3 linked regions of the Canis lupus familiaris genome follow. The protein of the gene in region 2 purifies or fractionates together with the protein of the main gene of each other region. This does not show direct contact. Links are inferred from orthologs where the notes say so. Each region holds a gene or a part of one and is shown on either strand. Other genes may lie near its edges.

Region 1 (7,665 bases), on a different chromosome or scaffold from region 2:
ACCTCTCACACCAGAACAGATGGGTGGAACATGGAACATAGAAGGTTTTACCTCTGAGGTGGTAACAGTGAAGCCACTCATTAACACTGAATTTACCACTTCGTTAGCAACATTGCTTCCTGTTGAGAAAAGCTAATACAGGCTTTCAAATTGAGCATATATTTGTCTGCCTCTGTGATTATAATAAGTAGGAACACGAAGTAAGTGTCTTTCAGGCTAGCTTTTTAAAAATTCTGTTGTCCGTTTCAGATTTATGAGATTCTTCCTATTTGGACACTTTACTTTTTTTGTATATGAGAAATGTCAGGAATGGATAATGGTATAGCATCAAGGTTTGCTTTTCTTTTCATTGACATTTGCACACTCTTCCCTAACACATGTTTATGTGCTGCCCATTTTTAACTTCTGTGTATGTGATGTAGAGACTCCCGCTGGGTGCTGCATTAGCACCATTTTGGGGTGATATCATTGAATATGATCTTATTGGATGTCTATTTTTATTACTGTGGAGGTTTGCCAATCTCAAAACAGAATTCTGAGGCCTATGAGGGGCAGAATAATTGTTAGTATAAATAATAATGCCAAAGACAGATATTTGTAGTATATATTTATAATATTTGTTGTATTAAAGGGCACATCTTATGGGAAGAGTAAGCTCATACATACAAGCACTTGTTCTAAGCTGTGAAATAACAAAGTAATTAGAAACAATTCCTTTATTCTTTAACTAGAATAAAGAGCTAACTTTTATTCTTTAACTACCATAAAATATTAGAAATAATTACCTATACTGAAAATATTTTCATTTCTAAATACCAGATTATGTTCCTGCTATCTTAAAATACTACTTGTTATACAGATTAAAAATCCTATGAAGGAACAATGGAAGACTTAATTCTCTTTTTTTAAAGATTTTTTATTTATTTATTCATAGAGAAAGAGAGAGAGGGAGAGAGGCAGAGATACAGGCAGAGGGAGAAGCAGGCTCCATGCAGGGAGCCTAACGTGGGACTCGATCCCAGGTCCCCAGGATCACACCCAAGGCTGCAGGCGGCGCTAAACCACTGCTCCACTGGGGCAGCCCAGAAGACTTCATTCTTTATCAGAGAGCAGGAACCTAGTCTGTCTTGCTTACTGCTGGTATTCCTAATAATAAAACAGTGCCTGGCACATGGTAAGGGCTCAGTAAATATTTGGAGAATAAATAACTGTACTTGCTACCATGTACAAAAAAGAAGAGAAATAAGGAATTTTATGCCAGCACTTTGGATAGTCTATACCTAGGGTTGCCAAATAACAGATTCTTTAAATTGTACTTGAGGGGGCAGCCCCAGTGGCCCAGCAGTTTAGTGCCACCTTTAGCCCAGGGTGTGATCCTGGAGACCTGGGATCAAGTCCCACATTGGGCTCCCTGCATGGGGAGCCTGCTTCTCCCTCTGCCTCTCTCTCTCTCTCTGTCTCTCATAAATAAATAAATAAAATCATTTTTAAAAATAAAATAAATAAACTGTACTTGAGGATTATTGGATATTTTGAAGGTCTTGCTGTAATTGCTGAGTCAAAAAGTCAGAACCATGATGGAATTTACACTATTTGAAGGGAGTCTACATTTCATAGTACGAAAACTTTTTCCTCTTACACATTTTGCTTTGATTTTGCAGTTGTGTTTTTACTTGTTCAACATGTTAGTCCTTTATTCACCAAATACTGCTGAAGCACCTATGCCAAACACTGTGCTAGGTTCTAAAGACAAGAGCTTACATTCTTCCATAGAGACCGGCAATTCAGTATAATGTGGCCATTTCTAATGTTGCTGTTCCCTAGATGATTTGTATATATGCAATACGGAGTTGTTGCCTAGCACAAAGAAGAAAATTAACCTTTGAGATACTTTTAATGTCTTTTACATTTTTTAAAGTGTTTCCTCATTCTTGGAAAATTATTAGATCTTGATATAAAGAGTCGAATCACACTAATAAAAGTGTGTACTTTGAACTCTCCATACATTCTAATAGAATTTTTTCTTTCATGCCAATCTAAATTTTTTTTCTTCCATTTTCTAGACTAAATGTGTTAAATGGGCTTGCCAACAATATGGATGATTTGAAGATAAACACCGATATTACTGGTGCTAAAGAAGAACTCCTAGATAACAACAGTTTTATCTCAGACAAAGAGAGTGGAGTTCATAAACCAAAAGATTGTCAAACATCATTTCAGAAAAATAATACTCTCACTCTGCCTGAAGAACTGTCAAAGGACAAATCTGAAAAAGCCTTAAGTGGAGGCCAGTCTACTTTATTTATACATGCTGGTGCTCCTACTGTTTCTAGTGAAAACTTTATCTTGCCTAAAGGAGCTGCTGTTAATGGACCAGTTTCACACTCCTCCTTAGCTAAGACTTCCAGTATGAATAAAGGCAGTGTTTCATTAACCACTGGACAACCTGTGGATCAGCCAACAACAGAGTCTTGTTCAGCGTTGAAGGTGGCACCTGATCTTCAACTATCTACACCACAGAAAGCAAGTCAACATCAAGTTTTATTTTTGTTATCAGATGTAGCGCATGCTAAAAATCCAACCCATTCCATTAAAAAACTACCTACCTCTGCTTCCGTTGGTTGTGACATTCAGAATTCAGTAGGGAGTAGTATAAAGTCAGATAGCACTTTAATAAATCAAGTAGAGGTGGGTGAGGATAGTGATGATTTATTGGTAAAAGATGATTGTGTTGATACATTGACAGGAATTTCCTCAGGTACAGATGAATTTAGGTCAGAAAATGATACGAACTGGGATCCCCAAAAAGAGTTCATTCAGTTTCTTATGACTAATGAAGACACAGTGGATAAAGCTCCAGTTCACTCTAAAGTAGGTCTAGAAAAAAAGAGAAAGCGAAAAATGGATGTAAGCAAGATAACTCGTTATACTGAGGATTGCTTTAGTGATTCTAATTGTATACCCAATAAGTCAAAAATGCTAGAAGTAGACTTTCTGGAGCAGAATGAAGAACTACAAGCAATAGACTCACAGAAATATGCATTATCAAAAGTGAAGCCTGAATCAACTGATGAAGACTTGGAATCTGTGGATGCTTTTCAGCATCTAATTTATAACCCAGATAAGTGTGGAGAAGGCAGTTCACCCGTTCATACTAGCACTTTTCTTTCAAATACCTTAAAAAAGAAATGTGAAGAAAGTGATTCCGAGTCACCTGCTACTTTCAGCACCGAAGAGCCATCATTCTACCCCTGTACAAAGTGCAATGTGAATTTTAGGGAGAAAAAACACCTCCACAGGCATATGATGTATCATTTAGATGGGAATAGCCACTTTCGTCATCTTAATGTCCCAAGGCCATATGCTTGTAGAGAATGTGGACGGACATTTCGAGATCGTAACTCACTTCTAAAGCATATGATTATTCACCAAGAAAGAAGACAGAAGTTGATGGAGGAAATTCGTGAGTTGAAAGAACTTCAGGATGAAGGAAGAAGTGCACGATTACAGTGCCCTCAGTGTGTGTTTGGTACCAATTGCCCTAAAACATTTGTGCAACATGCTAAAACCCATGAAAAAGATAAAAGGTACTACTGCTGTGAAGAGTGTAACTTCATGGCTGTGACAGAAAATGAATTAGAATGCCATCGAGGCATTGCCCACGGAGCAGTGGTAAAATGCCCTATCGTCAATTCTGATGTAGCCCAGAGAAAAACGCAAAAAAAGACTTTCATGAAAGACTCTGTTGTAGGATCATCCAAAAAATCAGCCACCTATATATGTAAGATGTGTCCTTTTACTACTTCAGCCAGAAGTATTTTAAAAAAACACATGGAATACTTGCATTCATCATCATGTGTTGATTCATTTGGTAGTCCTCTTGGACTTGATAAACGAAAAAGTGACATTCTCGAAGAACCTATAGATATTGATGGCACTAAACCATTAATTAAACAACAGTCAGCCACATTTCCAAAGAATTCCGCTTTAAAACAAGATGTAAAGCGAACATTTGGATCATCTTCACAATCAAGTAATTTTTCCAAATTCCACAAGCGGCCACACAGAATACAAAAAGCTCGGAAAAGCATTGCCCAGTCAGGTGTAAATGTGTGCAATCAAAACAATTCTCACAAGACTGTTACGATTAAAAGCAGCTCTGACCAAAAACCTAAGTATTTCCATCAAGCAGCAAAAGAAAAATCTAATGCCAAGGCAAATAGCAACTATTTATATAGACACAAATATGAAAACTATAGGATGATCAAAAAATCAGGTGAATCGTATCCTCTACATTTCAAAAAAGAAGAAGCCAGCTCATTGAATTCTTTACATTTGTTCTCGTCATCAAGTAATTCTCACAACAATAGTTTCATTTCAGACTCTCAAAACTCTGATACCAAAAGGCCAGAAAGCTTCAAAGAACATAGACGTGTAGCTGTAAAGAGAGTAGTTAAGGAATCTAAGAAGGAAAGCTCTGTTGGAGGAGAAGACTTGGATAGCTATCCAGATTTCCTGCATAAAATGACAGTTGTTGTTTTGCAGAAACTTAATTCTGCTGAAAAGAAAGACAGCTATGAAACAGAAGATGAAAGTTCTTGGGATAATGTTGAGTTAGGTGACTACACTACACAGGCTATGGAAGATGAAACCTATAATGATATTAATCAAGAACATGTAAACTTATTCCCACTGTTTAAAAGCAAGGTGGAAAGTCAAGAGCCTGGAGAAAATGCTACTCTTAGTTATGATCAAAACGATGGCTTTTATTTTGAATATTATGAAGATGCTGGAACTAATAACTTTTTGCATGACATACATGATTCTCAGCATTTAGAAAATGCAGAAACTTCATTGTCAAAGCATAGTTCTGTTTTTCACTGGACTGATTTGTCTCTTGAGAAGAAATCATGTCCTTACTGCCCAGCAACATTTGAAACAGGTGTTGGGTTGTCAAATCATGTCCGAGGACATCTTCACAGAGCTGGATTAAGCTATGAAGCCCGCCATGTTGTATCACCAGAACAAATAGCCACAAGTGACAAAATGCAACATTTCAAAAGAACTGGTACAGGGACACCTGTTAAGCGAGTTAGAAAAGGTAAGTTTTCATGTAGATAATTTGGGTTAATATGTCTGTATTCAAATTCAAAGGATTTGAAGGTTTTGCTCAGATTTGGTCTTTATTAGAATCACATAACTTTATATTTCAGAGTTATTGGCTTTAAGATGATCACTTTATGAAAAATTCTGATGTTACTCTTAAAAAATTTTTTTTAGCTATAGAGAAGTCTGAAACCACTTCTGAACACACTTGTCAGCTCTGTGGTGGTTGGTTTGATACTAAAATTGGATTATCGAATCATGTTAGAGGCCATCTGAAAAGACTTGGAAAGACCAAATGGGATGCTCACAAATCTCCAATCTGTGTTTTGAATGAGATGATGCAAAATGAAGAAAAATATGAAAAAATCTTGAAAGCATTGAACAGTCGTCGTATTATTCCCAGACCATTTGTAGCTCAAAAACTTGCATCAAGTGATGACTTTCTATCTCAAAATGTTATACCTCTTGAAGCATACCGTAATGGCCTAAAGACTGAAGCTTTATCAGTGTCTGCATCAGAAGAAGAAGGGCTGAGTTTCTTAAATGAATATGATGAAACAAAACCAGAACTACCCAGTGGAAAAAAGAATCAGTCTCTTACACTGATAGAACTACTTAAAAATAAAAGGATGGGAGAAGAAAGGAATTCTACTATTTCTCCTCAAAAAATTCATAATCAAACTGCAAGAAAGAGATTTGTTCAGAAGTGTGTTCTTCCATTAAGTGAAGACAGTCCCTTGATGTATCAACCACAAAGAATGGATTTGACTATGCACTCAGGTAAGAGGATGTCTATGACTGTCGTCTAGAATTTAAATACAGTTATGCTTATTGTTACAGAATATTTGTAGAAAATACTTTCTTAGAATCTTTTTACTTAAGCTGCTTTTTTTGCAGAGCAGAGATTGGTTATACTGTCATTTCTATATAAATCATCAGTTGATGCTCATCAGCACTGAATTCTCTGTGCCTCATTTCTTGGTCAGAATGTAAGGTGAGAACAAAAAAAGTAGATCTGTAAAATAAAATTTGCTGTGGCTGGGGGATGGTCCTATGGATGGGAGGTTGACGTTGTTCAAAAGCATAGCATTACTGAAATGGCGAACCTGTCCTATATTTGCCAGTGCTCCAAGGTGATAATGTTTTCAAGATATAGCTGTTGGTTTTCCTTCTGCTTAAGTCAAATGAATAAACAAACAAATAGACTCTTTAAACTGAATGGATTGGTGTCTGTTGTGTGTTGTGATTAACCCAAAAAAACTTCTCCTTCTCCAATTCCTCACTGTATTGTGGGATAGTTTGGTTTTGGAGAACTGTTGTGAGTATAAAACATTTGTTTGGGGTTTTAGATTTTACAGTGGTGGTCTAAAGGAACAGAACGGATGGTTTAGGTTAGTGCTTGTGCACCAATAGTTTTTCCTTTTCAAAAGAATTGTTTGTGTATGTTGGCAAATGAGGTAGCAAATAAAATAGCCAAACTGTATTTGTTATTGCTAAGTCTGATTTATACTTTTAGACTCGAAGAATTTTAAGTGGCTTTGTAGGTTTCTTTTGGAGGTTAAGAATGTTGAGGATGAACTTAGATGGTCTCATAATTTTAGCCCCAAGTCCAATGTGTCTAAGGTAAAACTAACTGGTCAGGGGAATTCATAATGAATAAAATTACTTCAGTGTTGACTTGTTTATTTTGGCAGACATTGGGATAGCCCAGATATTTATATGCAGTTTTGATTTAAGGAAAGATTACACTGTGTTGTGAGTGATCTGAAAAACTTTCTTGTATGGGTTTCTGGTAAATAGGTTCTTTTGTATGAAGAGAGTCTTTGAAAGTCAAATCTTCAACATTTTTTTCAAAAGAATAAAATGTAAGAAAGGTGTGTTAGCTATGTTGACTAAAGTTTAGTACACTTGAGAGATGGAAAGTGTATTTGTGGCTGAATGTCATTGTTGGAGAAACCAACTGAAAGGAGTTTGAGGAGTGAAGATTGTCTTAGAAGTTAGGAGTTTCTTACTGTTTCAACATGTTTTCTTTCCTGTGATGACTAAGATGTTAGCTTGTTGATCATTTATTTAGCACAAAGATTTTAGTAAAAAACTTCAAATCATTAACTTTCATTATTGATTGCGCATTCAGAGTAATGAACATAAAATGCCCTGAATAAAATGTTGTGTCTAACAGCTGCTCAATGGTGTGTTTTACCACCTTTTCTCCCAGCCTTCATCAGAAAACCTAATTTAGTATTGAGCCTTTTACGGTTTTGTGGGTAAAACACTTTAATTACCACTTTGTCAACTAGACTTTTTAATTCTTTTTATTGGTAATGTTGTAAGCTTTGAAACTTCTCAACTGAACTGTGCTCTTCAAATCACAGGATTGTATTTTAGGTTTAGGAAATGATCTGCGTAACACAGAAATCTGCAAGAAAGTGATAATAGGTGTTAAATCCAGAGGAGCTCAGAGGTTCAAGGCACTCCTCTTCCACATTTCCAAAGAGCATGGGTTGGCTCTAAATACTAACAGCAAACTAATATTAGTTAACTTAATTCCCCCTCCTTATT
Region 2 (8,428 bases):
AAGACTTTGAAGTATATTAAAAAACTGGATTCATAGCTCATTATAATAGATACCAGAAGTAAGAAGAATGTTAATTATATTCATGAAATATATATGGCTGTTTCTGTATATATGAAGAAGTAGACACCTCTGCCCCTTCTTTAAAAATGTATCTCAAATTTCTTAAACTAGATAAAACAATATGTTTAGGTCACAATTTCATCTGTCAAAGCAAGTTTATTTAAAATACATATTGTGAATTGGAAACTTGACATCCGTTGATTGCATAGCTATTTTTTTTTTCTATCTTCAGCAGTACCTTCTATCAGTAGGAAAAAATATTGATGACAATATTTTGTCAGCATCAGTAGTCTTGATGACTTCAATACTTAGCTGCTATAGTATTTTTAAACATCTTACTAAGCTTTAAGTGTTCCACCAGTGAGTGCACTGTTAGTTGTTCATTAAAGCCAGCACACATATTCTGTTTATCTACCTTCTCTAAGCTAAATGTTTCAAAAAAAAATTTTTAACTGTAGCATAGCTTATGGAACACATGGTATCTTTTAAATTTGTGGGAAGGCATACTTTGAGCAAATAAGCTTAAGAGCAAGTTGACTTTCCTTTGCAAGGAAGAGACATCTCTAAGTTATTTAATAAGCATATTTATTGAACAGTATTCCTAATTACATTTTCCTGGCTTAATTTGACTGCTAAAGAAATTTAAAATCTGATTTTTCAATTGCATTTCTAACAGATCATAATCAGAAATTAATATCAGACTATAAAACCTTTGGTGTCATTTTGAACATTACCTACTCCCATAGTTGAATCCATGGGACACATTCCAAAAGGGCCTCTACTATTCTATGTCCCTTTTACACAGAGCTGTTTAGCCATCCAGCACACCAGGGACCCACCTTCCTTGGGGAAGTGACATCTCTCATCATTAATAACTAGAAAATTCATCACTGTTTAATGTAGAATTAACCTAATGTAATAGAAATACAATACTCTTTTCTGTGGAGTGTTTAGATTCTCCTCTTTTTCATCTAAACCCAAAGATTTTATTGTCAAGTATATGGAGCAGAGATTAACTACCTCAGAGAACTCATTATAAATTATTGCCTTCTCAGACCTCACTAGAGTAGGTAGCTATCTTATGCCTTTTTAATCTTTTAATCTTACTCCCATAGTCACAACACTGTCACTACTAGAATTTATAGTAAAGAAAGTATTTAAGCAGTGAAGACTTTTTTCATGTAGAAGTTATTTAGAAAAGAATCTGGACTATTTAGATGCATTTCTGTAAGACATCTGATGATTTAAACACTAAAATCTCAAACATTTATATGTGAACCTAGCATCTCTTTTTACTTTGTAAATTAGTCCAAGGATAAAATCCAGATGTTTTCCCTTTGTATTATCACTGTATGAACTCTATACCTAAGGAAAACGAAACTTGAGATAAATGGTTTTGCTGATTTCATAGTAGATTTTGCCTGTCTTCTGTAACATGTAATTAGATTCTTCATCTTTGTTTCTCTAAATCAAATGCTTGTGCCACCCTCTCACACACACACACACCCTTTTTTTTTTAACTTTTCCAGCTCTTGTTTTCCTTTGAAATACTGATTTGGCTTTTAAAGATTTATCTTCTCACAATTTCAGAAACTAATGGAATTCTGTATTGGTTCAAATGGCTTGTTTAAACCTGCTAAGTGAAGTCTTAGACATTGAGCTATATGTAACCACAATCTGTACTGTTTTCAGTTTAGTCAGAATCTTTGAGATGTTAAGTACTGTTTGAAACTGTTTTAACTTGAAATTTAGAGAAACGGCCAAAGATCAGTGTATTTACAGAGCACACCTTAGGAAAACAGGCTTGGTTAATCCTTCATGATGGTGTTCCTTACTCTTCAGTATGTTTCGCCAATGACATACTCTTAGATACAGTCTACTCCAAAAGGTGGGTTCAAAGATGTTGAGACAACGTGTTGGTTGGGATTGACCTAAATTTACACGAGCTGTCCATGTGCTGTCTTGTGACATCCACATTGTGGTAACGCTAGAATGACTGTCCTTGGGACCACAGTTGACGTGTAGTTTTTGAGCGTCTTCTGGAGGCCCATCAGCAGCACCTTTTCTCCTCTTCAGGCTTCACCAGTCCAGAGGCCCCCAAACGCTAGGCTCCCATTTGTTTTCTTCAGGCCAAAGAGAAGAGCCCATCTTTGACTTGGAAGAGAGTCAGCCCCTGGCCACTAGGTAACCCACCCGCCGGGAAGGAACCGGGGCTCCGTGGGCTCGTGTCCCGTCTCCAGGCGGTGTGTGAAGCACGAGGCCCTCACACCTCTTTTAAGGCAGGAGGCATCGCGCTCGAGCGGCCAGGTGCCCCTGCCCCTCCCGCTACCGCCCGGCCCGGCCCGGCCCGCCCGTGAGCGCGCAGGCCTCCCAGCACGTGGAGCCGCCGGGCTGCCCACACGCCCCCTCCCGCCAGATGTAGTCCAGGCCCAGCTGGGCCCGCGCAGGGATCCCCGGCACGGCCACCTGACTGAGTGCAGGGCGTGCTGCGGCCCGCTGCTGGTGCCTCCGCCGCCGGCGCTGCGGCCAGAGGAAGGCGCCCGCCGTGCACACGGGCCTTGGAAGCGCACTGCGGCCATTATCCGCGGCGCCTCCTAGTGGGTCAATGGCAAATCCTCTTGGTTCTCGCGAGAGCTCCCCCTCAGTGGGGATTATATAATTTCCCTCAGGTGGGGGTGCTGGTGCCACCCTCCCTCCCAAAAAGTTAGGTGCAAGCCCAGGTGGGAGTGAGAGAGTGGTCCCTGGGGGACAAGGGGGGAAGGGGTGCTGTCCCCCACTGCCCCCCCCCACTTAGCTGGACAATGAGTCCTCTTATGCTAATGAGGTATTTACGTCACTTCCGCTCTTTCTCGGCCGCCATTTTGGCTAGGGCAGGTTCGGGGACTCGCTCCGAGGCGCTTGTATTGTCTGCTGAGGGGAGACGCGGGATCAGCCCCCTCCCCCGCCCGTTGCCGCCGCCGCCTCCGCCGGCCCGGTCTCCCCTCCGCCGCCCGCCGGGATCCATGAGCTGAACTCCCGCCCCCCCCCCCGGCCGCCGCCATCTTGTGCCCCCTCCCCCTCCCGCGGGCAGCGCTAAGGGGGATTTTGGCGTCTCCTCAGACACAGCTCCCTCTCTCGGTCCCCGCTGCTGAGGAGCGAGAGGAGCGCGGCCGCCGCCGCCCGCCCGCCCGCGCCGGTGAAGCCGCCTCTCCCACACCCTCCGTCTCCTCCCTCCGCCCCTCCTTTGTCTGCACCGCTCGACGACGCTGCCGCCGCCGCCCGCGCGGGGACTGGAGGGAGCCGCTCGCGCCGCCGCCGCCGCCCGCCGCTCTGCTGCGCCCGCCGCGCCCCCCGGCAGCAGCCGCGGCCGCGGCGCGAGCCGGAGCCCGCCGAGCCAGCGCGCGACGAGGCCCCGGGCGCGCCCTCGCCGCCGCCGCCGCCGCCGCCACCACCGCCACCGCCGTGCCGCCGCCATCCGCCCGCCGCCGCCGCCGCCGCCGCCGCCCGGCCCCCGAGCACGCCGGCCCCGCGCGCGCCTCGAGGCCGAGTCAAGGTAAGCCCGCGGCCGCCGCGCGCCCACCCCGCGGCCCGGCCCCGGCCCCGGCCCCGCTCCCGCTCCGCGCTCCCCGCTCCCGCTCCCGGCCCCGGCCCCGGCCCCGGCCCCGGCCCCGGCCCCGCGGGCGCATTGTTGCGCCGACTGCCTGCGCTCCGGCCACACACGCTCCTTTGCACGCTCCGGTGCTGACGGAGCGCCCGCCCCGCCGCGGACCGCTACCCGGGCTCCGCTCCGGGGGCCAGGCGCCTCCTCCTGCAGCCCGACCCCCCTCCCCGCCCCGCGAGCCCGCCGAGGCCGGCAGCCAGCCCGGCCCCGGAGCCTGTGCCGCTGATGGCATCTCCCCCCACCCCGCCCCCAGCGAGCGCCGAGCTGCTCCCATCCCTGGAACTGAGCCCTTCCTCCCGCAAGGAGCCCCCCACGCACACCCCCGGTGCCTGGGACGAGCCCGCCGCCACCTCTGCCCACCCTCGGCTGGGGGAGGGGGGACACTGGGGGGCGGGGAGCGTGCATGGCACGGAGTGGAAAGTCTTTGCCTCCGCCGTGCAGCCCTTCCTCCCCAGCACGCCAGCTCCCCTCCTGTCCTAGCCACGGAGTCCACCACCACCCCCTTTCCCCAGGCGCAGCTGCCTGGTCAGCACGACCTCTTAGGAACATTCTGAGCCCCAACTTTGCAATGAGACGGCTAAAAAAAAAAAAAGGAAATCCAGAAAGCTGCGAAAAGATTTTTTTTTTTTTTTTTTTAATGCAATGAATGGGGAGGAGTTCTTTGAGCACCCTTTTATTCACCTCTCTTTCCTCTGGGCTGCCTGCCTGCCCTCCCCTCCCCCTCAACCTGGATGCCTGTCTGCTGGAAAAGGCGCGATTGCTTCTCTTCCTCTTCTGCCCAAGATCAGGCGCTAAGGTCTAATATCCTTTTTAGCCACACATGGACCCACACTAAGTCTTCTTGATGTTCTTGCATTCACCAATTCCTCTGGGCAGTTCTTGCTATAACCCCATTTCTCAGACAAAGGCTTAGGAGGGAAAAAGAACCAAACTGTTTCCTGTGTTTGCCATTTTAATGCTGTCCATCCCCACACACCCAATTCCTATTCCTGATGCTTCTCGTACCAGTGTCTTGAACCTTCAAAATGAAAACAAAAACAAAAACAAAAAACAGAAATCTCCTGAGTGGCTTGATACAGTTTCTTTATAAATCTGCATTGTTGCTTCTGGTTTATGGCCATGAAGAAAATACCAGCCCCCACCCAAAATGCACCGCAGCCAAGTCGGCTAAAGGCGATGAGTGTTGGAGTCAGTAGGGGGCGCATTCCCTGCACTGGGTAAGGCTGCAGAGGGGGGAAGGGCCCCAGAGCTAGAACAGGATGTGCTTCACAGCGCCTTCTACAGACCATGGGAAAATGGACCCAGCAAGACACACTCTCGCACTCTTAGTTGGTGAGCTGACAGCAACATGGCGAAGGATTAAGGGAGTCAAGAGCGGTGATTTTATTTCTTTTAAAGAACCCACCCTGCATTTTAAAAGTTCTCTCTTTTTACTTTTTCAAAACTGTTGACCCTCAGACAATCCACATTTGTTCTTGGCACATCATTGGTACACAGATTTTCTATTCTCTGGAATTATGGAATTCTTCCACCTTAAGCTTTGAATGAGTCACCATGTCTTTCCAAGGTCAGATGGTAAAGGGGAAAGTGTAAAACCTGAGAGTAATGCATTGGTTTGGGGGTATTGCTGATTGCCTCCTTTCTTCATGGCCCAAATCTTTCCAACTCTTTGAGAGTTAAAAATCATTCTTGAAGGATGTTGTTAGAATGTTAGTGGGGTAGTAATTCTCATAAGCATGTAGATGGGTGTCATGATTTGCAAAGCCTTGTTGGTAAACATCAAACCCGTGTTGAATTCTTCATTGTCAAACTCAACAGAGTTGATTGTAAAATTTTGTTGCCTTCCAACTTTGGACTTGTAATTGCCGCCATTCATTATCTCAGTAGCCAACCACCAACCACCTTTGCAAAAGTGTTGACACCGGTCTTCTGTGAGCACCCACCTTCTTAGGGTGTGTTGATTTCTGTAGATTTTACTCCTCTTGTTATTTCCATAGGTGTGAGATGCACAATGCGAAACCTAGGCCCCAGCTTTTGCACCATGATGCACAGGGTTGTACTTTTTGTACTGAACTGATAGGTGGCCTAGTGGTTATGCCCTGTACTACCATTTTGAGGATCTGGACTCCGTTCCTGCCTTGCTCTTTGGACCACATTGTCAATTCACACCGGTGGGTATATTCATTTTGGAGGGTGGGAACTGCAGCAACAGGGAAGCCAGAGACTTCTTCCTCCTTGGTCACCACCAAAGCCAACACTTCCAAAATTTCAGCCTAGCCACATTCCTCAAGGAACCGGTTAGAGCTGGTTGCAGTCGAGGGTTCTGAACAGAGAAATGACATAGTAGCTTGTTTAAGAGAAAATTTTGAAGTTGCTAATGCTGTTTTAATCATTTGCATTCTGCACTCTTGTGTATAAAGTATGTTAAGTTCTTGATTATTGTTATCTTGATGACCCAGGCTCAAGAGTTGCTATAGTTTCTATAAACCTTACAGATTCTCTGATCAGAACAGGCCCTTCCATGAACCTGTCCTTGTTACCAATGATTGTCAGTGGTTGTTGATAATCAAAGGTACTTTTAAGACTTTGTTGCAAGTATGTTACATAGACAGACCAAGATAAGTTTATGGGGAAACTTATGAATGGGTGTATTCTTTGATACATAGTTAACCAGTTGGTGCTTAAGAGTTTTCATGGGACATTTGCTGCCAAGTAACCTTTTGGTGAGTGAAAAGGAAGGAGGCAGCTTGGTTCAGTTATTCCATTGGAGACCTAACTATATTGCTTTTGCAATATTTTAGTAGCCACAAGAATCAGATATTAAATCTAATGGTGATATTTATAATTTTTAAATACTGATCAGTATTTGTTAAACAGATATAATTTTGACCTGTACTTGTTCTTTGATAGATAGTTATATGAGTTTTTAAAGGAGTAGTTTGAAAACCACTTCTTATTTGAGGGTATGTTTGAGGTGAGGTTTGTGAAGGTGCTTTTATTTGACTTGGCAAATTACACATAAGATGCAGTGTTAACTGATATCCTTAGTGGTAATAGCCATTCTCCTCCTACGGGAAAACTTGCTATGAGCTCTTAGAAAGCATGTATTCTGCAGTTTTTCAAGGTTTCCTGGTTTGAGCATTCTAAATTAAATTTATAAATAAATAAATAATAAATAGTAAGGCTATTGGGCTTGAAGGCTGGAATTTAGGTAAACTGAGGGTTTGTTAAAAGTACAGGTTGGGGGAAGGGAGCCTCAATTAAGCGGAAGGTGGGAATGGGTATTCTGTTTAATTGAGCTTTAAGTAGAAATGCCTTCTTTACTTAGCCTTTGTTGAAATTTCCTAAAGTTACCATATTAGAGGCTACTGTACATTGAACTAAGCCTTTGATTTTGATTTTTATAGTCTCTGTTTAGAAAATATAGGAGATTGGGCTTTGAATCTCTAAAAGACCTCTGGCCCTGCCTATCCTGGAAGTCATTGGTTGTAAACATACCCACTGTGAATTTGTTTTGCTTAAATTTCTCTTTTTTTTCCTTAAACCAGAGTGCAGGAAAAGTTCTAATACTATTTATATTAAAAATAAAACGTCACCATGTTGAACAGATTAAGTGTCAAGTAAGTTCTCAATTATTGTTATTTTGATGACCCAATCTCAAAAGTTGCTAAACTTTTAAAAACCTTAAAGATTCTCTGATCAGAACAGGCCTTTTCCTGAACATGTAGTTGCTACCAGATAACCAGCTAATAGGCTTTTACCAAGTAAAAATGATTTTTGCTTCTTGTTACAACATATATGCACACGTTTATTTAATTACTCCAATTTGATTAAATAAGGTGCACTATTTGTTAAATTGTTGGCTTTCCTGGTAACTGTTCACAGAATTTGAAAAACGTCTACTCAACACAATTTTTAGTATTTTGAAACTTTAAATATTCAGCAGTCTTTTGGTTGATTGCATTTATGATGTTGTGCACATGCTGGCTACATGTTTAATGATGGAAATTAAAGAAGATAGAGCTGATCAGTTACAAAGGCTCAAATAGGGATCAGTACTTGAGTAGAGAGAGAGAAAAGAAAAAATTCACAATTTCAGTACTATTTTTGTCTTTTGGGAACTATAACAAAATTGCATAAGTTGTAATAGGCCTTGGCAGGTTGATTTCGTCAATTGGTGTGAGTGTGTATATACCCAAAATACAACTCGTTTCTTTTAGAGTTGGAAATAACTGTCATATTATCAAATACAAAATCCGAGCATTAGAGATATAATTGGGAAACCGTACATTTAACTACAGAAAAAGATGTTGGGATTAGACATTATAATTTTTGGAAAAATAATCTATTAAAATCATAGTGAGATTAATTTAGGTGAAAGTACCCAAAAGGAAATTTTTATAAGAATAGAAGCTAATTTGTAGTTTACACCAACATGCCCGATACTATTGTGTAGTAATCTGCGTGTTCATCCTGGACTTCCAAGGGGCTTATCGTTAGATTCTCAGAGCTTGATGTGTTTCTAGCATCATGCAGACTTTTAGTTTTGTAAGAGCTTGTGTCATTAGGTCTGGAACAAATGTCGTATTTTGCTGATGTGCATCACTGTCAGTTATGTATTTTATGTTGATAGTTTGAAAACTTGGCATTTGAAATTGGTGAGAACCAAACCCCCACCCACACTAACTGAATTGATACTTTGAATGTAGAAACTGTTTCTTGTTTACT
Region 3 (7,058 bases), on a different chromosome or scaffold from region 2:
CAAGGACACAGCTAGAAAGGCCTCCTCAGCTCCATTTTACCTCATCTTCCCAAACTCTTAGGAGGCTTTTTTTTAAAAGATCTTGTTTTTAGGTAATCTCTATACTTAATACAGAGCTCAAACTCACGACCTCAAGATCAAGAATCGCACGCTCTGCTGACTGAGCCAGCCTGTCAGCCCAGAAGGCTTTTTGAAAAAAAAAATACTTATGCATCAGTTTATTTGGAACAAATGCTGTGTACTAGTGAGCAGAGCGGATTTGATCTTGGTGGAAATCCCATATTCCCTTTTAATAAATAACAAGAGCCTAGTCCCATTTTGGCTCTGGACATTAAGAAAGTAGATAACATTTTAAGTCAGTGATCAAATATTAGATCAGTTCCTGAAAATTTTGGAGTTGACTATTAGCTGAAGTGACACAAGTCTACAAAATACATAAGCCAAGAACTAAACCTAACTCAAAACCCATGTTTCAAAAAAAACAAAACAAACAAACAAACAAAAAAAAACCCATGTTTCTGGGGCACCTGGGTGGCTCAGTGGTTGAGCATCTGCCTTTGGCTCAGGTCGTGATCCTGGGGTCCTGGGATCGAGTCCCACATTAGGCTCCCCATAGGGAGCCTCCTTCTCCCTCAGCCTACGTCTCTGCCTCTCTGAGTCTCTCATGAATAAAAACAAACATAACTCAAAAAACCTATTATTAAAAAAACAAACTGACAGCAACAACAAACAAACACGTTTCCAAACATATCATGGTTTGGAAGTGCTAGCAGGTCAGAGTGCTAAATTAAATTTGAGCAAAAAATGAATGAATGAATGAATGAATAAATAAGCAAACTTTGAGCAATATGAAGGCAGAATGATGTGACAAGTTTTATAATCTCTATAGCAATTATAGACGTTCAATAAATATTTACTACATAATGAGACCACTCAAAGATTCAGGCCAGGCATTAGATTTTCAAACCTACAGTGTTCAAGAAATTAAACCTTCCTTGGGATGCCTGAGTGGCTCAGCGGTTGAGCGTCTGCCTTCAGCTAGGATCGTGATCCTGGAGTCCTGGGATCGAGTCCCACATCGGGCTCCCTGCATGGAGCCTGCTTCTCCCTCTGCCTCTGTCTCTCTCTGTCTCATGAACAAATATAAATAAAATCTTAAAAAAAAAAAATTAAAAAAAAAATCAAACCGTCCAACTGTAGAAGTTGTTTCCTTATAAGCTGAACCAAAAGGTAATCAAAGGCAGGGAGGGTTTTTGGTAATACTTAATCAAGACAGAAATCAAGGATTATAAATCTATAGTTTTATTAAGACAAAACTGACAAATGTGGTATGAAGTTTACATTTAAACAAAGTTTTCACAGAAACCTAACACATGCCTAAAAAGATTTTACAATGGAGTTCTAGAATGCAGGTCTAGACGATGTCAAGAACTGATGGATCTCATGATTCAAGACAGCATTTTGGGTATTAGTTCTTAGGATTAAAAAATTTTTTTGTTTTGTTTTGTGTTTTAAAGTGAACCACTGCCCCAGTATGAAAGTTTAATCTTCTCCTGAGACCAGGGCTTTTGAAGTCATTCAACTCTTGAAGTGATTCAATGAACTTGTGCTGTCAGTGATTGAACCCTGCCACCAATGATTTCAGGGTTCAAAGTTCAAATAATAGGCTCCAAGAGTTTTCCACCCTAAGAGCATGGGCCCTTGTCTTTCTCTACTCTCCCACCTTCTATACCACCCTCTTCTCCTCCCCAAATACCTCAGCCAGTGGCTTGGATGGATAAGCTGATGTTTAAAACTTCATAGTTGGAAAAGAAAGGGTCTTCTTACCAATTTCAAGAATTAGCACCTCTATGACAGAACAATCTGCCTATGTATACGCTCCAATAAGACTTTCCCTCTTCAACCAGTTTCCATCCCCAAAATGGCAGCTTTGGTAACTTATTAACTGGCTTAGTCCTTTGTTGGGAATAGCATTAAGCTCAGGCAGGGAACACCTTGGCTTTAAGTTTCAGGCATTCACAGCTTTTAAACAGTCTCTCACAGTCCTCATTTAGGTTGCCAATGACATTTTTTGAAAAGATAAAATATTCTGGACACAGAACCAAATCACCACAAGTTTGTTCTTTCCATTGTTTCACCATTTTCCCAATCAGGCCCCAAATTTTAACAAAAATGATCCTACCCATCTCCGTTCCTTCCCACCCCCAACCCTCCCACCCCCAAATGATACACCAGTAATAGCCAAAAACTACACACATGCTACGCTGTAAAAATGCAGAGTTAACACTATTGGGAAGAAGGCTGTGGGTTGTGGAGATGCACTTTGAAGATCTACAGTATCTTTTGCTCTCCCACACACCCATTCTGCAAGTTCTGTCCTTCATGGAAGGCCCTTTGCCTTTCTCAGCAAAGTACAGAATGGGTGGCCTTGCAATACTTCTCTTCCTTCCCCTCCACTGGGATGGGTGTGCAAACTACACAGCATGGAAAGGCTTTAAAGCACTTGGGCTGCTGTAGGGCACAGAAACGATACTGGCTCTTCAAAGGACATCTTCTCAAGCCACCTCTACGGTGTCAAGACGAGTAGAACTCCTTCCCTCCCCACTTGAAACCCACAGTCAGATGTGACAGGGGCAGGTACTCAGGACAGTTAATTCTTGTCATCTTTTTTGTCATCATCCTCCGAGGGGTAAGAATGCCACGTCAGCCTTTCCTCATAGAAGGATATGACCACCTGTGGGCACTTGACATTGGCTTCCTTGGCAGGGACTAGGTCAGCCTCATCAGAATTTTTCCTGCAGAACAAAGCAGAGAGACCCTGAGACCAGGTGCTAGTGGTCTCCTAACCTGGATTACACAAGGGATAGGGCGATAACATGGCCTACACAGCATTTAGTCAAGTGACATCCTCAGAGGTCTTCTGTTGAAAATCCTCTCTGGTATCTTTGTTAAGCTCAGTCACTTAACTCAATCTATCACATGTGAACCTCTGGCAAGGCCAGGAAAAAAACAAAAACAAAAACAAAAACAAACATGACTCTCAGATTCTTGGAGGGCAGAAGAAAGGCTACCATACTCATCCAAAAGCCAAGCTCCCAAGAGCCCATGGAGAGATCTTGGCTTTGTAGTAGAATTTTGGATAGTAATTGATTTTATACCAATAGTAAGATTTAATACCAATAATAAGATTTAATACCATTGGCTCTAGCCAATGCAGTTGGACACATTCTCATTGACTCATAATTACACTGTTTAACATTACCAAATGCCATGCTCACACAGATATTCCACAACTCCCAGGTGCTTTGAAATGGTGCTTCAACACTGGGAAGTAGAAAATAAGGGACTGTTACATAATTCTCTATATTTTCCTGAATTTTAAAAAATGGTCTCAAAATTTGAAAATCACATACATATTACAAAGGACTTAGGAGTAAGGTCACTAGGAATCTCCTAGATGAGAGTAGCAGCATTAAGGCAGGTAGCAGTTATATGATGGGATCCAATGAGGCACCACCCAAAACTTCTAGAACTCAGAAACAGATAAACCAAAGCCAGAGAGCACAAGGAACCAGGGTTGACTAAACTGGTAAGGTATGTTTCTGAACAACAGACTGAAAAGAATGGGAGGGAAAAGGAGTCTAACAATATGGGAGCCTGAAGGAGGCTGCCCTTGTTGACAATTCAAACAATACTTTGAGGGAAGTTCAGTTATTTCATAACAAAGGAATATTTTCTATTTTGGTAATGGACAACTATTTCAACTCTTCCAGAAAATCATCTTAAAATGAACTAGGTTTTTCTAATCAACATCCAATCTTTTTATCTTAACTTGTAGAATTACATTCAGGTATAATCTTTAAAAATAGCAGTAATTCAACCAAAGGAGTGCAATCTTAAACAATATGGAGATAGTATAGTAACTCAGACTGATCACATGCAGACAGTGAAAATATATTCTAGTTGGATTGTAGCTCCTGGTATCAATCTCCCCCCACCACCCCAGATGCACACCTTAAAAATGAAAAATGAACTTTTCTCCTATAGGCTAGCAGTAAAGCAGCTAAAATGTCAGATTCAGTGAACATAGGAAACACAAAATAAGAAAACAAGAGTTTCACCTAATTGTGACATAAGCTTTCAGCAGTGTCAAAGTCAGGCCTCTCTGACCACCTTCTAAGCAAGAGGAATTAGTATAGACAGGAATTTAAGAGAAGATTCTAGACTGACAAAAGGACAAAATCCTTAAAATTCTGCCTTAACTGGTAAAGGCTTAGAATCATTCCCTCCTAATTTATATTTTAAGGACAATATTTGAGACCTACCTGGGGGGGGAAAAAAGCACAAACATTTTTCAACCAGCAAGAAAAAGAAAAGAAAGCCTTCCTTTTGGCAGAGAATAGGGATATTTTAGGGAATCTGGGGTTAATTAAAGTTCTTATCATTCTCAAGACAACTGTTTTCCTTAAGCTGTTTTGTGGAGTATTACTACCATTGGTATTCATACTTCTAATGGAAAAAAATAGCCTATTACTCTATGCTCTCAGTACAGTAAAGGTGACTTGCTGACCCCTACTGGCTGATCCTGGAATTACAGAATCTGCACAAATTGGAAAGGATCTAACAATCAAAGACAAAGGAAGAGCTACAGAAATTCTTAAATAACCCTGAGAAGTTAACAGAACTTCTGATCCTGGGGCCAGCCCAATTTTTATTAAGGAGGTTGTACAAGGGGAAGGTGGTTCAATCACATTTCATTCCCAACCCCTTCATTCACAGAAGTGAAATGTGATCCTTCCCTGTACCTTCTCCATCCTGGATTTTCTCCCACCTCCTAATAAATGGGGCAAAGATCTGAGAATCCTAAGGGCCCCTACCTGTAACTCATGAGTCCAGGCTGGCAGTCAGGCCGAGGGTCACTATCGAAGGACTATGCCATCTTAAAGATTTCACACTTGGGCGACTGGAATTTCGAAGATCCAGCTCTTTTCCTCTGGCATGGAACAGATGGGGAGAAGAAAAAAACCACCACACAGGGCCACCAGCAGACTCACCATTTCATCAGGAACATGAGTTCTCCACTGGAGTCTGTAGCTCCAATAATCCGCTCTGGTTCCAAACCCCGGGCAAAGCCTCGTGGCTTTTCTGACTGTAAAAATCAGATGGATGCAACAAATTTAATTATGTGGGACTGTTATCCAGACTAGAGTCACTCCTGCTCCTCTGATTAATATAATCACATTCTTGTCAGTATTTCATCAATACCTTGGCTCCAAGTCACAGGCCTTTATGCATCCTTCTGAGTGATTCTTCCATCAAGGTCTTGAGGTTTCCCCATATGTAAAAAGGGACATACATCTCAAGCAAAATAAATTTTCACAACAGTTTCTTCACCCTCAGAAGATAACTTACTTTAAGGTACTGAATAAATATAGAGCTAACACCTGTAATGATTACAACACTGAAAACTATCTATAGGAATGAATTTATTTGCACTCATTATTATTCTTGAAACTTGGATAAAGTAGGGCAGCCCGAGTGGCTCGGCAGTTTAGCGCCTGCCTTCGGCCCGGGGTGTGATCCTGGAGGCCCAGGATCGAGTCCCACATCAGGCTCCCTGCATGGATCCTGCTTCTCCCTCTGCCTGTGTCTCTGCCTCTCTCTCTCTGTGTGTCCCTCATGAATAAATAAATAAAATCTTAAAAAAAAAAAAAAAAAAAAAGGAAAGAAACTTGGATAAAGTATAGATTACATGGCTTCAGCAAAGTGAACCCCCAAACACTTTATAAGCATTAGCCTAAGATTCCAGAGGAAGGAGAGATGGGTGCTGAGGCCCAAGAAGCAGCAGAATAAAACTCCTTAAATTTAAAAATTAAAAGGCTTTTCAGCTTTGACAGCAGTAGGAATTCTGGGCTAGTAAAACTTGTTCTCCCCTTACCTCTTCTTTCTTCTTCTTTGGTTTGCTCTCTTCTCCCTTATCTTCAGAATCAGAGTCAGCTTTGCGTTTGCCTCCCTCTGATTTATCTGTCTCATGTGCTGTTTTCTGTGACTGTAGAAACTCGGCAATGAGATCAGGGCAATCCAGGTTCTCTTCTGGCTCCCACGTGTTATCCTCACTGAAACCAGAGGGCACAGTGAGTCACACTTTCCACTCAAAAGTTAGCACACTCATACTAAGGAGATGCACAGGATGACGAGAGCTGGTGTCCTTGGAAAAGAGGAGTTAATGATAATGAGTATCCAGATTTTGTCCAAGACCAAGAACCTTGGTAACACTGAGATTTCTTGGGGCAGGGGGGTTGGCATCAGACTTTTTAATGTAAATTAAAAGCTTAGAAACTTGCCTTCTTCAAAGGAAAATTACTTTCTTTGCAAACTTGAATCAGTCTAAAGCTGCACATAAAACTGCTTCTCATAAATCACTGTCTGGCATTGTAGCACTTTGTACATGTGGACAGTTTTCCTCATTAGACTCTAAGCCATGAAGGCCAGGCCTGGGTCATACTACCCATCAGAGCACCCTAGGCCTTGCGCATTACTAGACTCCTGAGAAATAGTCAGTGACTAAATAGATAGATTTACCCAAGTTAATGAAACTTACTCTGAGAACCCCTTCCACTTTAGGAGGTACTCCACTTTGCCCTTTACCACTCGACGGTCAAGAACTTTTTCCACCACATATTCCTCTTCCTCCTCTTCTAGCACCTCCTCCACTTTCTTCTTGTTTTGTTTCTTCCCCATAGTGCCCGCCAGCTTTCTGGTCTAAAGGGTGACGCTGCTAAAGTGATAAAATAAAATAAAAAGGGCGTTAGGGCACATTTTTCTTGGTTAGGTGAATATTTGGATGGTTAGAAATCCAGGGACAGCTCTGACTTTAATGGTGTATGCTGCTTGTATTAGCTGTTCTGCCTATACAACTGCAGTATAAAATAAGGCTTTCTTTTTTTTTTTTTTTTAAATAAGGCTTTCTGATATATTAAGCTAGAAAGTTCATAAACAGTCCCAGCCAATCTCACCGCAAAACTTTATTCAGCTTCTTTATTGTTGTATCTCCACTT

Evidence for each region.
Region 1: the proteins of ADNP (region 2) and ZNF644 purify together in Homo sapiens (affinity purification with mass spectrometry; 3 studies listed by BioGRID and IntAct, with this or other methods). This does not show direct contact. The link is inferred for Canis lupus familiaris from reciprocal best matches to the Homo sapiens genes ADNP and ZNF644.
Region 3: the proteins of ADNP (region 2) and CBX1 purify together in Homo sapiens (affinity purification with mass spectrometry; 6 studies listed by BioGRID and IntAct, with this or other methods). This does not show direct contact. The link is inferred for Canis lupus familiaris from reciprocal best matches to the Homo sapiens genes ADNP and CBX1.

What each region holds. Positions count from the first base shown.
Region 1 is NC_049227.1:58,284,370-58,292,034, forward strand, and holds part of ZNF644 (zinc finger protein 644), read left to right. Parts: intron 1-2,063; coding exon 2,064-5,101; intron 5,102-5,280; coding exon 5,281-5,886; intron 5,887-6,003; coding exon of another isoform or gene 6,004-6,065; exon of another isoform or gene 6,066-6,100; intron 6,101-7,665.
Region 2 is NC_049245.1:37,865,071-37,873,498, reverse strand, and holds the start of ADNP (activity-dependent neuroprotector homeobox protein), read left to right. Parts: upstream 1-3,533; 5' UTR 3,534-3,592; intron 3,593-5,697; exon of another isoform or gene 5,698-5,871; intron 5,872-7,248; exon of another isoform or gene 7,249-7,320; intron 7,321-8,428.
Region 3 is NC_049230.1:24,313,575-24,320,632, forward strand, and holds the end of CBX1 (chromobox protein homolog 1), read right to left. Parts: intron 6,779-7,058; 5' UTR 6,742-6,778; coding exon 6,602-6,741; intron 6,117-6,601; coding exon 5,939-6,116; intron 5,150-5,938; coding exon 5,055-5,149; intron 3,325-5,054; coding exon 3,171-3,324; 3' UTR 2,804-3,170; downstream 1-2,803. UniProt on the Homo sapiens protein: Component of heterochromatin. Recognizes and binds histone H3 tails methylated at 'Lys-9', leading to epigenetic repression. Interaction with lamin B receptor (LBR) can contribute to the association of the heterochromatin with the inner nuclear membrane.